3 linked regions of the Daphnia pulex genome follow. The protein of the gene in region 1 purifies or fractionates together with the protein of each later gene. This does not show direct contact. Links are inferred from orthologs where the notes say so. Each region holds a gene or a part of one and is shown in the gene's direction. Other genes may lie near its edges. The genes, in order: trithorax group protein osa-like, SWI/SNF complex subunit SMARCC2-like and brahma-associated protein of 60 kDa-like.

Region 1 (3,662 bases):
CTCCCGTTGTTTTATTGCTGCAGGTCATCCTCCGTCAGCAGCTTCTCCTGTTACCAATTTGGTGACGACAGGACCGGACGGTGTGGCTGGACTGGACGAAGCCTCTCAGCAATCAACGCTGTCCAACACGTCGGCGGCCTCTGGTGACGACGTTTCGGCCCCTTCGACTCCACGTTCGCGCAAAGAAACCAGCTCGATGCCAATGACCCCGTCCGCCCATCATCCGCCCTTTTCTCAGCAGCCGCCGCACCAAATGCTCAGTCACCCACCAACGCCGCAGAGCACCGTTCCCAGCCCGGGACCGGCCTCCTTATCTTCCCAGCACGAAGATTACAATGACGTACATAGTCCGGGTCCAGGTGTCGGTAACTGGAGTGTCTCTACGCGACCTACACCATCTTCTCCGGTATGAATCAGTTGCTTTTTATTCATTACTTAACAAACTTTTTCACGTTTTGTTTTTCTTCCAGAAAACGTCGCATGTTAGTGACGCGCTTGCGCGGATGTATGACTTTGATGATCATCCTGATCGAAGGAAGTTCCTCGATCAGTTGCTGCGTTTCATGGAAGAGAAGGGCAGTCCCATTACGGCCTGCCCGACTATATCCAAGAATCCGTTGGACCTCTTCCGTTTGTACCTGCTGGTTCGGGACCGTGGAGGTTTCGTGGAAGTGACAAAGAACAAAGTATGGAAAGACATCGCTCAGACGCTGGGAATCGGTGCTTCTTCCAGCGCCGCCTATACACTACGCAAACACTACACCAAAAGCCTCTTCCCTTGGGAGTGCAAATTTGACCGAGGAGGCGTCGATCCACAGCCCATACTCAATCAGGTACGTCATTTTGTTGCGGTTTTTATTACAAGAAAAAGGGTTTTGTCTCGAAGTTTTTAATAGCGATATTTAATTTTTTTTACATTTTTCGTGTTCATTTTCAGAGAAATTATTCCCACATTTAAAAAAGATGTATAATTTGTACTTTAATAATGCGAATCGAAAAGCAGTAGGCTTTTTGGTTTTATTTTATTTTTCTGTGTGTGCGTGTGAAAAAAGTGGGATTACAGAATGAACCGACAACAGCGCATAGCAGCCGAAATTTTTATCAGAATTAGTCAGTTTTTATCTCACAATAACAATACTCGAGATTGTTTGACAAAAACTGACGCATTTTAGTAAACGAATCGACCCAGATGTCGTGGATTATCAGTAGCTCAGTGGGGTTTTTGTTTCGATGCTATTAGCCATGTTTTTCTTTGTGCTAATCGACCGTTTCTGTATCCCTTTAGGTGGAAGCCACAACCAAAAAGAAACCGGCTCCTAAAATAAGTGTGCCCTCGCCGGCTGGATCATCCAACAGTCAGGATTCGTTCCCGTCTTCTGGAGTGCCGCCTATCCCGTCTATGGATGGCTACCCCAATGCACACTATCCTGGTTATCCTCCGCCTCATGCTGGAGAAAACATTGCCGCAAGCAATCCATTTGATGATCAACAACACTATGGTGGCAGAGGCGGCGGTGGACATCCCGGCTATCCGCCACACCAACAGCCTCCTCCCCCGTCTGCTCAGCAGCAACAACAACATCAACAACAGCAACAACAGCAGCAGCAACAACAACAGCAGCAGCAGCAACAGCAACCTCCTTCAATGTACAATACAATGGCTGGTAGACCTGGAGGATATCCTGGCCATCCGGGTCATCCCAATCATCCTAATCACCCTGGCAATCATCCAAACCAGGGAGGATATCATCATCCGTACCAAAACGAGTACCCAAACCCAAACAACCAGCAGTATCCTCCGTACGCGACTCCTCCAAATCGAACAATGTATTCAGCGCCCTACCCGGAACCTTACAACCCTCAAGCGCCACCGAGTGGACAAGCTCCCCCTCCTGGGCCAGGCCCTGGGCCATCACCTTCGGATCCTTACGGCCGATTTATGCCTCCTAATCACGCTCCAGGAGCTGCAACAGCATCGGGGCCTTACCCTCCACGACCGCCTGTGCCTCCTACGGCGTCAACTAATGTGTCGACACCCACGTCGACACCGAGTCCAAGTCCGGCGACGATAGCCACTTCGACTTCTACGGGGTCACAATCCGTACCCCCGTCACCCCTCGCACAATCCATGCAGCCACAACAACAACCGCTCGTTCAACAGCAACAACAATCACAGCCTCCTCAGACGCAACAGCCGGGTAATACCAGTGCTGGACCCAGTCCAGCTCCCAGTCCGGCACCCAATGCGGGAACACCTGGTTATCCAGAACAAACTGATCCGTACCAGGTAACTTATTTATTCTAGTTACGAATTTGCCTCCTCGTGTAGTTCAAAGTATTAACGAAAGTAGAAGAATGCTATCCATCTTTTGATTGGCCATCTGTTTTTTTTTTAAGCATGACTAACCAAAAGTAACAAAGTACACGCACGATGCTTGATAGATTTTGTTTCAATTTCGTGTATTAATTTATTTTGCTGTTTCTATTTGATTAGTAATTATTTTCTGTTTAGTTTTATTTCGATTTTATTTCTCATTATCTCGTTTTTTGTTTCCTCTTCTCTAATCCGCTCCGATCATAATTTTGATTTCATCTGCAACTACAGCGGAGTGGATTGCGCCAATTGTTGGCCTCGTCGACCTTGTTGGCTCCGCCTTCTTCTGATAGACAGCCTGTATGTGTTTTAATTTTTCCCCATTTCTCTACTTAAATCATTATTTCTTTTTTCAAAACTAATTTGCGTAGTGCTTGATAGTTGATTGCTGGATTGGTTTTTTTTAACAACACTAAAAAACAACCAAAAAATCTCTTCTTTTTTCTTTTACTCCAATTCTGAATATTTTGTTTTGGCCTAAATGATTGACGTTTATTTTTTTGAAAGGGTTATCCGGGTGGAACCACACCATCCAATTTGGGTCCACCTGCTGGTCAGCCTTATCCAGGACTCATTCGACCGGGGACTCCTGGGCCGACTCCTTCAGGTATGCCACCTCGCCAGTCGACACCCACTCCGACCGGTCTGAATCCACCGGTTGGCGGAGTAAGTGGCGCAGTAGTTGGACCTAATCCCAATGCTCCTCCTACGCCCGGCGCCCCGATTCAGCAACAACCAGGACCAGGGCCTTATCCACCTTACGGCCCTCCTGGTCAGGCGCCCAACCAACCACGGCAACCTTCATTCGGTAAGGAATTCATTCACGTGTACTATGTGTCTAGTAAGCGGTGATGGATTCTTCTGTTGAAATTTATTAAATCTTAATTTGATTTTTTTTTTCTAATGTGGGTTTCTTTTTTTTCTTACTTTAATTAATCGTCGCGATCCACTCAGATCCTTACGGATCTTACCGGTCACCTTATGGTTTGGCCGGTTCCGGTGATCTTACCTCAAGTGGTGGTGGTGGTGGAACGGGTGGAGTCATGGGTTTTAGTAGCAATCTTGCAACAGGCGAGTGACAGCACTCTTTCCAGTTGTCTTGTGTTTCGTTAATCGCATGCCTGCTACTAATGCAGTACTGCACCCGCTTGTCAGCTATTCATGTCATGTCGATCAGCCAATTGAAACTAATTGTTGTTGTTTTTTCATTCTTGGTTTCTTGCTATTCAGGCTGGAGGAATAACACGCCGTTCGTAAACCAATACCCACAGCAGGGCAATAGTCCTGG
Region 2 (4,208 bases), on another chromosome or scaffold:
TTAAAGTTAGTTTTGATTTGATTGAAATAGTGTTTTCAAATTTTATACTGTACTTCGTTGAGAGCTTTCACAGGCAAAATTCGTTTGTTCTTTATGCTTTCTTCTGACTTAGGGACCTCGTCACGGTACTCGGAAATCTCTAAAAATCGGTTTTCTAATTGATTAAGCTGCTGATCATGCAGCTCAACAGGTACATCATAAATTTTATCGCCAATGAGTGTCACGCGGATACGCTTGCGAAAAAGCCAACGGAACTTTCCCTATGAACAACAAAATTTACTATTTGTTTGGAAGAGATAAAAAGGACGAGGAATTAACCTGAAGTAGCTTGTCAATGGCATTCTTGATGTTATTAGAGTATTTCTTCGGGAGGCAGAGGTAGCCTTCGGATCTTGTAGGATCGCTATTAAAACCAATTATCGTCTTCGTAGGATCGTGGATTTTACTTGCACCAAGTAAAAATGTACCATCTCCTCCAGCAGTAAAGATAACATCAGCCCAGTTAATGTTACTTTCATTGTAATCAAAGCGAGTCACAACTTTTGTTTCAATGTTCTTTTGCTCCAAGATACTCTTCACCATGGCTTCACAGTTTTTATGGAGAGTATGATGGTAGAGTAACATATCTAAAGAGAATAAACACTATAAGTATGTATTAAATTAACAACTAAAGTAAAGAAAGAATTACTGTAATCAGATCCTCGCTTTCGTAAGGCGTGCTCCAATTGATTTTCATCAAGATTCTTGTGCCTGAGCTTCTCAAATTCATAGCGAGATAGTTTTGTCAATACCAAGGCTTTTTTTGGAGAAAATGTGGATGCCTCTGATGGGCTCCAACTTCCTACTGAGTTTCTTGACTGGAAAAATTAATAAAAAATGTAGGTTTAAAAAAATTTTCAGAATGAAGTTGGTGTATCCCTACTAGTTTTCTGTACAGCTGTAAATTTCCTATGAAGGATAAGCTCCTTGTCGGCGAACCTTGAGATGCGATTTTTCTCAGAAACATAGCAGCACAACCGTATGGGTCACCGGAAAAATGGTCAGTAAGAGAAAGAAAAATACGTGTCAATCAGTCACGTTATATTTCTATAATATTATCTCTGCCATATTATCAGTTCACCAATAATCTGTTACGTGATTTCAAAACATTGGTTTGGGAACCATCGTACGCAGAAAAACTGAAATAGCCTAGCAGACAAAAAATTATTTCAACTTCCTAACGATAGATGGCTCTGTATAAATAGTGACGGCGTTTGAAACTAAACGACTTCCCTCCCTTGAATGTGAAAGAAGACGCATCAAAAGCATCATCAAAGATGGCTTTCGCACCGAAAAAAGACGGAGGACCAAATTTAAAATTCTACGAGTCTCACGAAACTTTGTTGCTTTTCGAAGGAGTAAAAGCATGGCTTTCAAAAAATTGCAAAAAGGTAAATATTCACCGGCAGCAATCACCGTTTGTCATGTTAATTCTTCGCTGTCATTTGACCGGTTCATTCCCTCTTGTTTCAGTATGTTCAAACAGACCCTCCAACAGCCAAAAGTCTTTCAACTTCCATTACTCAAGTTATCCAGTTTCAAGAAGATACTTATGGCAAAAATGTGGCTAAACCACCTTTGACAAGGATTCCTACAAAATGCTTCCTAGACTTCAGGCCTAATGGCGGCATCTGCCAGATTTTGGCTACTGTTTACAAGTATGTAACTCTTTATTTGTAGCATGCTTCAGTGTTATTGACATTTTTCATATTGATCTTTATAATAGGTATCGTACTGACCATGGATGGAGGCGCATGGATTTTGCTTCTCCTTCCAGAATGGAACGCCACATTGAAATGATGGTTGCGATAGAGAAAGCACTGATTCAAGCCAAATGTCTTGTTCAGCCTAATATTTACATCATGCCAGATGTTGATAAAGGACTTGTCGGTAAGTGCTGTTGTCATATAATAATGCAGTGTTAACAGTTTCATGACCTTTGAATGTCTCACTAGGTAAACTGAAAGAAATTGTCAAAAGGCATCAAGGGTTAATCGCAGAGACTGAAGCTGAAGCAACACATCTTGTTCATTCGGCTGCTGATCCACTCGAAGAAGAGTACGCCCGTCCACTGTTTCGTCGCGATCGCAACACTTTGCTTCATTGGTATACCTCAGTTAAAGCAACAGTTCTGAACCCATGAATATACAACGTGTCATGTCTTAGGTATTACTTCCCAGACTCGTACGACAAGTGGGATACGATCGAATTACCTGTCGATCCTCCAGAGCTCTCAGACTATCTCGAATCTTTGAATGAACCTCACAAAACCTACCGAGTTGCCGCCAACTGGTTGCTGGATTTAGATCAATACAACGAGTGGATGAATGAAGAGGATTACGAAGTCGATGCTAGTGGAAAGAAAAAAGTGCACAAGCTTCGATTGTCCGTTGAGGATTTGATGAGTGGCGGTGACAGTAAACAAAAAGGGAAAACTCCTTCCACTTTGAAACGGAGAAGGTCTCCTTCACCGGCTGGCAGTGGATCGACTAAAGCCGCTGCAACTCCCACAACTGCTGGTGGTGCTGGAAACAAGCGCAAGAGTGTCCGTCCTGCCTTGGGCAAAAAATTCAAAGGTGGCGAAGAGGACAGCGACGATCTTACACGAGACATGGACGATCCTCCCTCAGACACTAATCTCCGCGAAGTCGAAGTGCCAAAGACTCATCCCGTTCCGGGCGGACCTCCTCCAACGGCTATTAAGAAAGATGCCGATTGGATGCCCACTAAAGGTATTATAGATTATTTATTCTTTTGTTAATTGTAGTGTCATTGTTGTATTTTTGATTGAAATTAGGAGCTGCATTGACTGATTTAGATGAAGAAGGTGAAAAGTTGGCAGATATCACATTAGTCACACCACAAGACGATCCGCACGGGCAGCAGGTACTGCTACAACAGGTTATTATTTGGTCGGAAATTTCCAGAACTGTTTCGAGTAACCAGCCGTGTTATTTATTCACCTCCCCCATTTTAGCATGACGATAATGTCACCGACCAAACTCACCACATCATCATTCCCAGCTACGCTGCCTGGTTTGATTACAATTCGATTCACTCGATCGAACGTCGCGCCTTGCCCGAATTTTTCAATGGCAAAAACCGTTCAAAGACTCCAGAGGTAAAATGAAATTTTGGTTTTTCTTTTGTTCAAGTCATACCCATTTGGTCTTTTATTTTCAGGTTTATTTGGCGTATCGTAATTTTATGATCGACACCTATCGCTTGAATCCTACCGAATATTTGACCAGCACTGCGTGTCGACGCAATTTGGCCGGTGACGTTTGCGCCATTATGCGCGTTCACGCCTTTTTGGAGCAGTGGGGACTCGTCAATTACCAGGTGGATGGGGATTCACGCCCGATGCCTGTCGGCCCACCACCCACATCGCACTTTCACATCCTCTCTGACACGCCGTCAGGTCTGCAGCCCGTCAATCCTCCTCGGACAACGCAGCCATCAGCGGCCAAGACTCTGATCGACATGGATAAGAAGACGGCAGCTCGCCAATCCGAAACAGCTCCCGTGGCCAATAATTTCGGCCTGAAACTGGACCAATACAGCCGTAAGAGCTCGTCCGTGTTGAAGAACAAGGCAACCAGAGAGTGGACGGAACAGGAGACGCTGCTCCTGCTCGAGGGTTTGGAACTGTACAAGGACGATTGGAACAAAGTCTGCGAACACGTTGGAACTCGCACCCAGGATGAATGTATTCTCCACTTTCTTCGCCTTCCTATCGAGGATCCATTTTTTGAAGACGTTGAATTGGGTGGCGGCGGAGCTGTTGGACCTTTGGCCTATCAGCCCATTCCGTTCAGCCAGGCCGGCAACCCCATCATGTCGACGGTGGCGTTTTTGGCATCAGTTGTGGATCCACGAGTTGCTGCCGCTGCTGCCAAAGCTGCGATGGAAGAATTCGCCAAGATCAAGGACGAAGTTCCATCGGCCCTGCTGGAAACGCACTTGAAGAACGTCGAAAATGCTCTGAGCGAAGGCAAATCGGACGCCTCGGTGGCCGCTTTGGCCCAATCTGGAATTGCTGGAACAGTTCAAGACAAGGAGGAGGCCGAGAGGGAGAAGGAGAAAGCGGACAAATTGGCCGAAGAGAAGGAAGCCTTGGAGAAGAGCGAAGAGAAGAAGGAGGCTGATAAAAAGGTGGAAGAAAAGAA
Region 3 (4,380 bases), on another chromosome or scaffold:
CAGCTCTATTGCAAGATATTGTAAGCATTTATCCAGCAGTAAGTCCACCTACTCTTACTGCTCAACAGTCCAACAGAGTTTGCAATGCTCTTGCTCTTCTGCAATGTGTTGCTTCACACCAAGAAACCAGATCTGCTTTTCTGCAAGCTCACATCCCATTATTCCTCTACCCTTTTTTGCACACTGTGAGCAAGACACGGCCATTTGAATATCTTCGTTTGACCAGTTTGGGAGTCATTGGTGCTCTAGTTAAAACTGATGAACAGGAGGTTATCAACTTTCTTCTTACAACAGAGATAATTCCATTGTGTTTGAGGATAATGGAAACTGGATCTGAACTGTCCAAGACTGTTGCAACTTTCATACTTCAAAAAATTCTCTTGGATGAAACTGGTCTGGCTTACATTTGTCAAACTTATGAGCGCTTTTCTCATGTTGCAATGATACTTGGTAAAATGGTTTTATCATTGGCCAAAGAACAGTCAGCTCGTCTTTTGAAGCACGTTGTCCGATGTTATCTTCGTCTTTCTGACAATCCAAGGTAAGGGACTTGCAAAAACCAAAAAGGAATTTTCGTATTGATATAAAATTCGACTATATTTTCTAGGGCTCGTGAAGCGTTGCGACAATGCCTACCTGATCAGTTGCGTGATAGCACTTTCTCAACATGTCTTAAAGATGATAAGTCAACTAAACAGTGGATGGCGCAACTTCTAAAAAATTTGGAAACTACTAATGGAATGGTAGATCCCCGAATCACCGGTTTGCCCTCAATGACTCAACCATGAAATGTTAAAAAAGAATGAATGCTCTTGTCTTGTCTTCAGCGAAAAATCGATCAGAATTATAATACAAACTTGCTGTATTGTTTTTTATTGCAACTAATTTTGCGGTTTCTGCTGACTTATTATATAAATTATAAACACGTGTTTCAGAGAATGTTAAATTTACTTATAAGATGTTCATTTGAGGATACACGAAACGGTGATTTCATTTTTGTTCAGTATCAATACGCAATATAAATTTGAAGTGTTATGTAAAAATTAGGTTCAATTTACTAACGCGAAAGACAAGGCGAAAGATGTAGCACGGGGCCACGGGTGTAGTGTCAAGACGGTTCAAGCTATCTATCTCTGTTGCAATATATTTTGTGACGATAAAAATGTTTTTGTTAACTGCCACGATTGCTTTTGGTCCTAACTTTTAAGTCTTAGATTTTTAATTGGTCCAAGTATTGAAAAATTACTTACTATTTTGTATTTTTGCAAATAATCGAATATTATCTGAGTGCACTACCGTAAAATAAGAAATTAGGTCTGAAAATTAATGAATAATGGGAATGGAAAATAAATAATATCAAGTTCGTTCGCGCAACCCGCACCCTCTGAACATTCCAAGAGATTCCAAGCTGAATTTTTGTACATTTTATAGAAACAAAAAAACCTTGAATTGTATGCTTTTTGGCCGCTACGTGGTGTTGAGGGAGGTTTATAGACGCGGTCAACAGATGGCGAATCAAAGCTTCAAACGGCAGGTTCGACCGTTCATCTCATCCGTAAAAAAGCAAAAGAACACTAAGAATTAAATAAGTAAATAATCGAAGAAAAAGTATATCTTAATTTTTGGTGTGTATTGTGTCGATCGCCGTTTTGACGGTTTTATAAAATGCAAAATACGAACGCAGCTACAGGAAGACCTCCCTTTCCTTCTCCGGGGAGTTCTATGCGGTTCAACTCTCCAAATTACCCTGTAAGTATAGTTTCTGTTGTCTTCAATTTTACAGTACCAAACCTTGATGTCATTCAACTTTCATTTTATCATAGCGCCCGGCATTCAATCAAATTCAAAACCCTCCAAACTCTACTTCTTCAGCAAGTCCTACAATGATGGGTCAAAGACCAAACATGATTGGGAATCCAACACCTCCAAATTCCTATAGTGGACAGCCTGTAAGGCCTGGTGGTCCCGGAATGAGCCCCCAAGCTTTGGGACCAGGGAAGAGACCTGGTGACATGAGAGCCCCTAATCAAACAGGAAAACTGTAAGAAATCAGATTATTTCTTTGTGTCCTTAACATCCAAGTATTAATGGTTTATATGTAGTGAATATGGCCCTAACAGTGCAAAGAAAAAGAAAAAGCTTGCAGACAAGATTCTTCCACAGAAAGTTCGAGATTTGGTTCCTGAATCTCAAGCTTACATGGATTTATTGGCATTTGAAAGAAAATTGGATGCTACTATTATGAGAAAACGTCTCGATATTCAAGTAAGTTGAAGTAAAGATTTCTTTTACACGTGTCAGTAATACTTTTAATACTTTCGTTTCAGGAAGCTTTGAAAAGACCCATGAAACAAAAACGAAAATTGCGTATTTTCATCTCAAACACATTCTACCCTGCTAGAGAAATGGATAATACTGAAGATGTTGGCGGAGGAAGCGGGGTTGCTTCTTGGGAACTGAGAGTAGAAGGACGACTTCTGGATGATGCTGCCAAATCAGATCCCAATAAAGTCAAACGGAAGTTTTCTTCGTTTTTCAAATCTCTCGTCATTGAGCTTGATAAAGACTTGTATGGGCCTGATAACCACCTTGTGGAATGGCATCGAACGTCTACTACTCAAGAAACGGATGGGTTTCAAGTAAAACGACCAGGAGATCGAAATGTACGGTGTACCATCTTACTTTTGCTCGACTATCAACCGCTGCAATTTCGTCTCGACTCGCGTTTGGCTCGTCTTCTTGGCATTCACACTCAAACAAGACCCATGGTAATCTCTGCATTGTGGCAGTACATTAAAACTCACAAACTTCAGGTATTATTCATAGCTGTTACAAGCCATGTGTCAAGAATAATCTAATTTTTTTTCTACTTCCTTACTACCTTAGGATCACCAAGAAAGAGAATTCATTCGTTGTGACAAATATATGGAACAAATATTTGGATGTCCTAGAATGAAATTTGCTGAAATTCCACAAAGATTGAATCCTCTCTTACATCCCCCTGATCCAATTGTTATCAACCATTTGATAAGGTACTTAGAAATTAAAGAAGAGACCATTTTCCATTTTATATTAATTTTATAACTTTTTTCTTTCAACAGCAGTGTGGAGAGTGCAGATCAGAAAAAAACTGCCTGCTATGACATTGATGTAGAAGTTGATGATACATTGAAAGCCCAGATGAATAATTTTTTGCTTTCTACTGCAAGCCAGCAAGAAATTCAGGTTTTTTTTTTCTTCCTGTCAATTACTTTGGCATGTTAAGATATATCTAATTTTTAATTTGTGGATGTAGAGCTTAGACAACAAGATCCACGAAACGGTTGAAAGCATTAATCAACTGAAGATCAGTCGAGAATTTTTCCTTGGATTTGCCCGAGATCCGCAGCAATTCATAAACAAATGGCTCTTATCTCAAACAAGGGATTTGAAGGTAAAAAGCTAAATAAAAAAATTTACAAAAATGTGTTGGATAAATTTAAACGATGTGTTTTTGTTTTGTTTTTTGTTTTCAGACTATGACTGACATCGTAGGAAATCCCGAAGAGGAGCGACGTGGAGAGTTTTACGAGCAAAGCTGGACCCAAGAAGCCGTTTGCCGATATTTTTACAGCAAAGTTCAACAAAAGCGTGCCGAATTGGAACAGGCATTAGGCATTCGTAACAATTAGAATGTTACTACTAAGGAAAACAACTTTTGGTTGGACATCGTTTATGTAAGCCAACTGTGACCAAGTGACAGCAGATTAAAAGAAAAATCCCGAGTTACTTATCGTGCATTTGCAGACTGGTAAAATAACAAGGAAACTTTTAACTTTCTTCGAGTATCGTGAATCCTAATTTGGGTCTAAATACATGGTGTCTTAAAATAATACTTCATCATTACTATTGTTTGCCACCCACGCAAGTAAAGAGATTCAGACCTCTCGATTTTTATTTTTTTTAAATTTTTTTGTTTGTTTGTTTTTGTGTTTATGCTTTTCAATTTTTACCGTGTGTCCCAAATCTAGGTAGCGCTTTTTCCTTAACTTAAATTCGCTTAAATTTAAGAAGGAAATTTTAGGCAGTGCAGGGCTCATCTGATCTATCTGATAATTTTAGAATAGTCATATGATGCCATGGGTGAACACATTTTTACTAAACTCGTAGTAATTGATGCATTAATATCAGTCTGGTTTTTCTACTGTGCTCGAACGCCCGACCCATTCAAAACAAATAAACTATAAACTATCAAGGGACTGTTGAGTAATCGATAAGTATTGGGGTCATGGGATCGGTTCAATATTCCTTCGATGAAGAAATTGTTGTAGTAGGAAACTGATAAATTGATCTGATTCGCCAAGTATCTTTATTTGCGCTTTTCATTAGATAGCTTGTTGA

Evidence for each region.
Region 2: the proteins of trithorax group protein osa-like (region 1) and SWI/SNF complex subunit SMARCC2-like purify together in Drosophila melanogaster (affinity purification with mass spectrometry; 3 studies listed by BioGRID, with this or other methods). This does not show direct contact. The link is inferred for Daphnia pulex from reciprocal best matches to the Drosophila melanogaster genes osa and mor.
Region 3: the proteins of trithorax group protein osa-like (region 1) and brahma-associated protein of 60 kDa-like purify together in Drosophila melanogaster (affinity purification with mass spectrometry; 3 studies listed by BioGRID, with this or other methods). This does not show direct contact. The link is inferred for Daphnia pulex from reciprocal best matches to the Drosophila melanogaster genes osa and Bap60.

The regions. Positions count from the first base shown.
Region 1 is NC_060023.1:7,296,578-7,300,239, reverse strand, and holds part of trithorax group protein osa-like, read left to right. Parts: intron 1-23; coding exon 24-406; intron 407-470; coding exon 471-833; intron 834-1,285; coding exon 1,286-2,287; intron 2,288-2,605; coding exon 2,606-2,674; intron 2,675-2,881; coding exon 2,882-3,182; intron 3,183-3,328; coding exon 3,329-3,445; intron 3,446-3,604; coding exon 3,605-3,662. UniProt on the Drosophila melanogaster protein: Trithorax group (trxG) protein required for embryonic segmentation, development of the notum and wing margin, and photoreceptor differentiation. Required for the activation of genes such as Antp, Ubx and Eve.
Region 2 is NC_060024.1:13,930,813-13,935,020, forward strand, and holds the start of SWI/SNF complex subunit SMARCC2-like, read left to right. Parts: upstream 1-1,316; coding exon 1,317-1,430; intron 1,431-1,512; coding exon 1,513-1,697; intron 1,698-1,765; coding exon 1,766-1,929; intron 1,930-1,994; coding exon 1,995-2,145; intron 2,146-2,205; coding exon 2,206-2,771; intron 2,772-2,836; coding exon 2,837-2,925; intron 2,926-3,016; coding exon 3,017-3,160; intron 3,161-3,222; coding exon 3,223-4,208. Other genes in the region: NAD kinase 2, mitochondrial-like, read right to left, coding at 54-260, 319-626, 689-857, 923-1,006.
Region 3 is NC_060018.1:7,203,722-7,208,101, forward strand, and holds brahma-associated protein of 60 kDa-like, read left to right. Parts: upstream 1-1,486; 5' UTR 1,487-1,665; coding exon 1,666-1,749; intron 1,750-1,823; coding exon 1,824-2,041; intron 2,042-2,102; coding exon 2,103-2,265; intron 2,266-2,327; coding exon 2,328-2,813; intron 2,814-2,886; coding exon 2,887-3,032; intron 3,033-3,101; coding exon 3,102-3,225; intron 3,226-3,295; coding exon 3,296-3,433; intron 3,434-3,515; coding exon 3,516-3,671; 3' UTR 3,672-3,872; downstream 3,873-4,380. Other genes in the region: CCR4-NOT transcription complex subunit 9-like, read left to right, coding at 1-541, 608-788. UniProt on the Drosophila melanogaster protein: Involved in the recruitment and site-specific anchoring of the Brahma complex at specific promoter sites.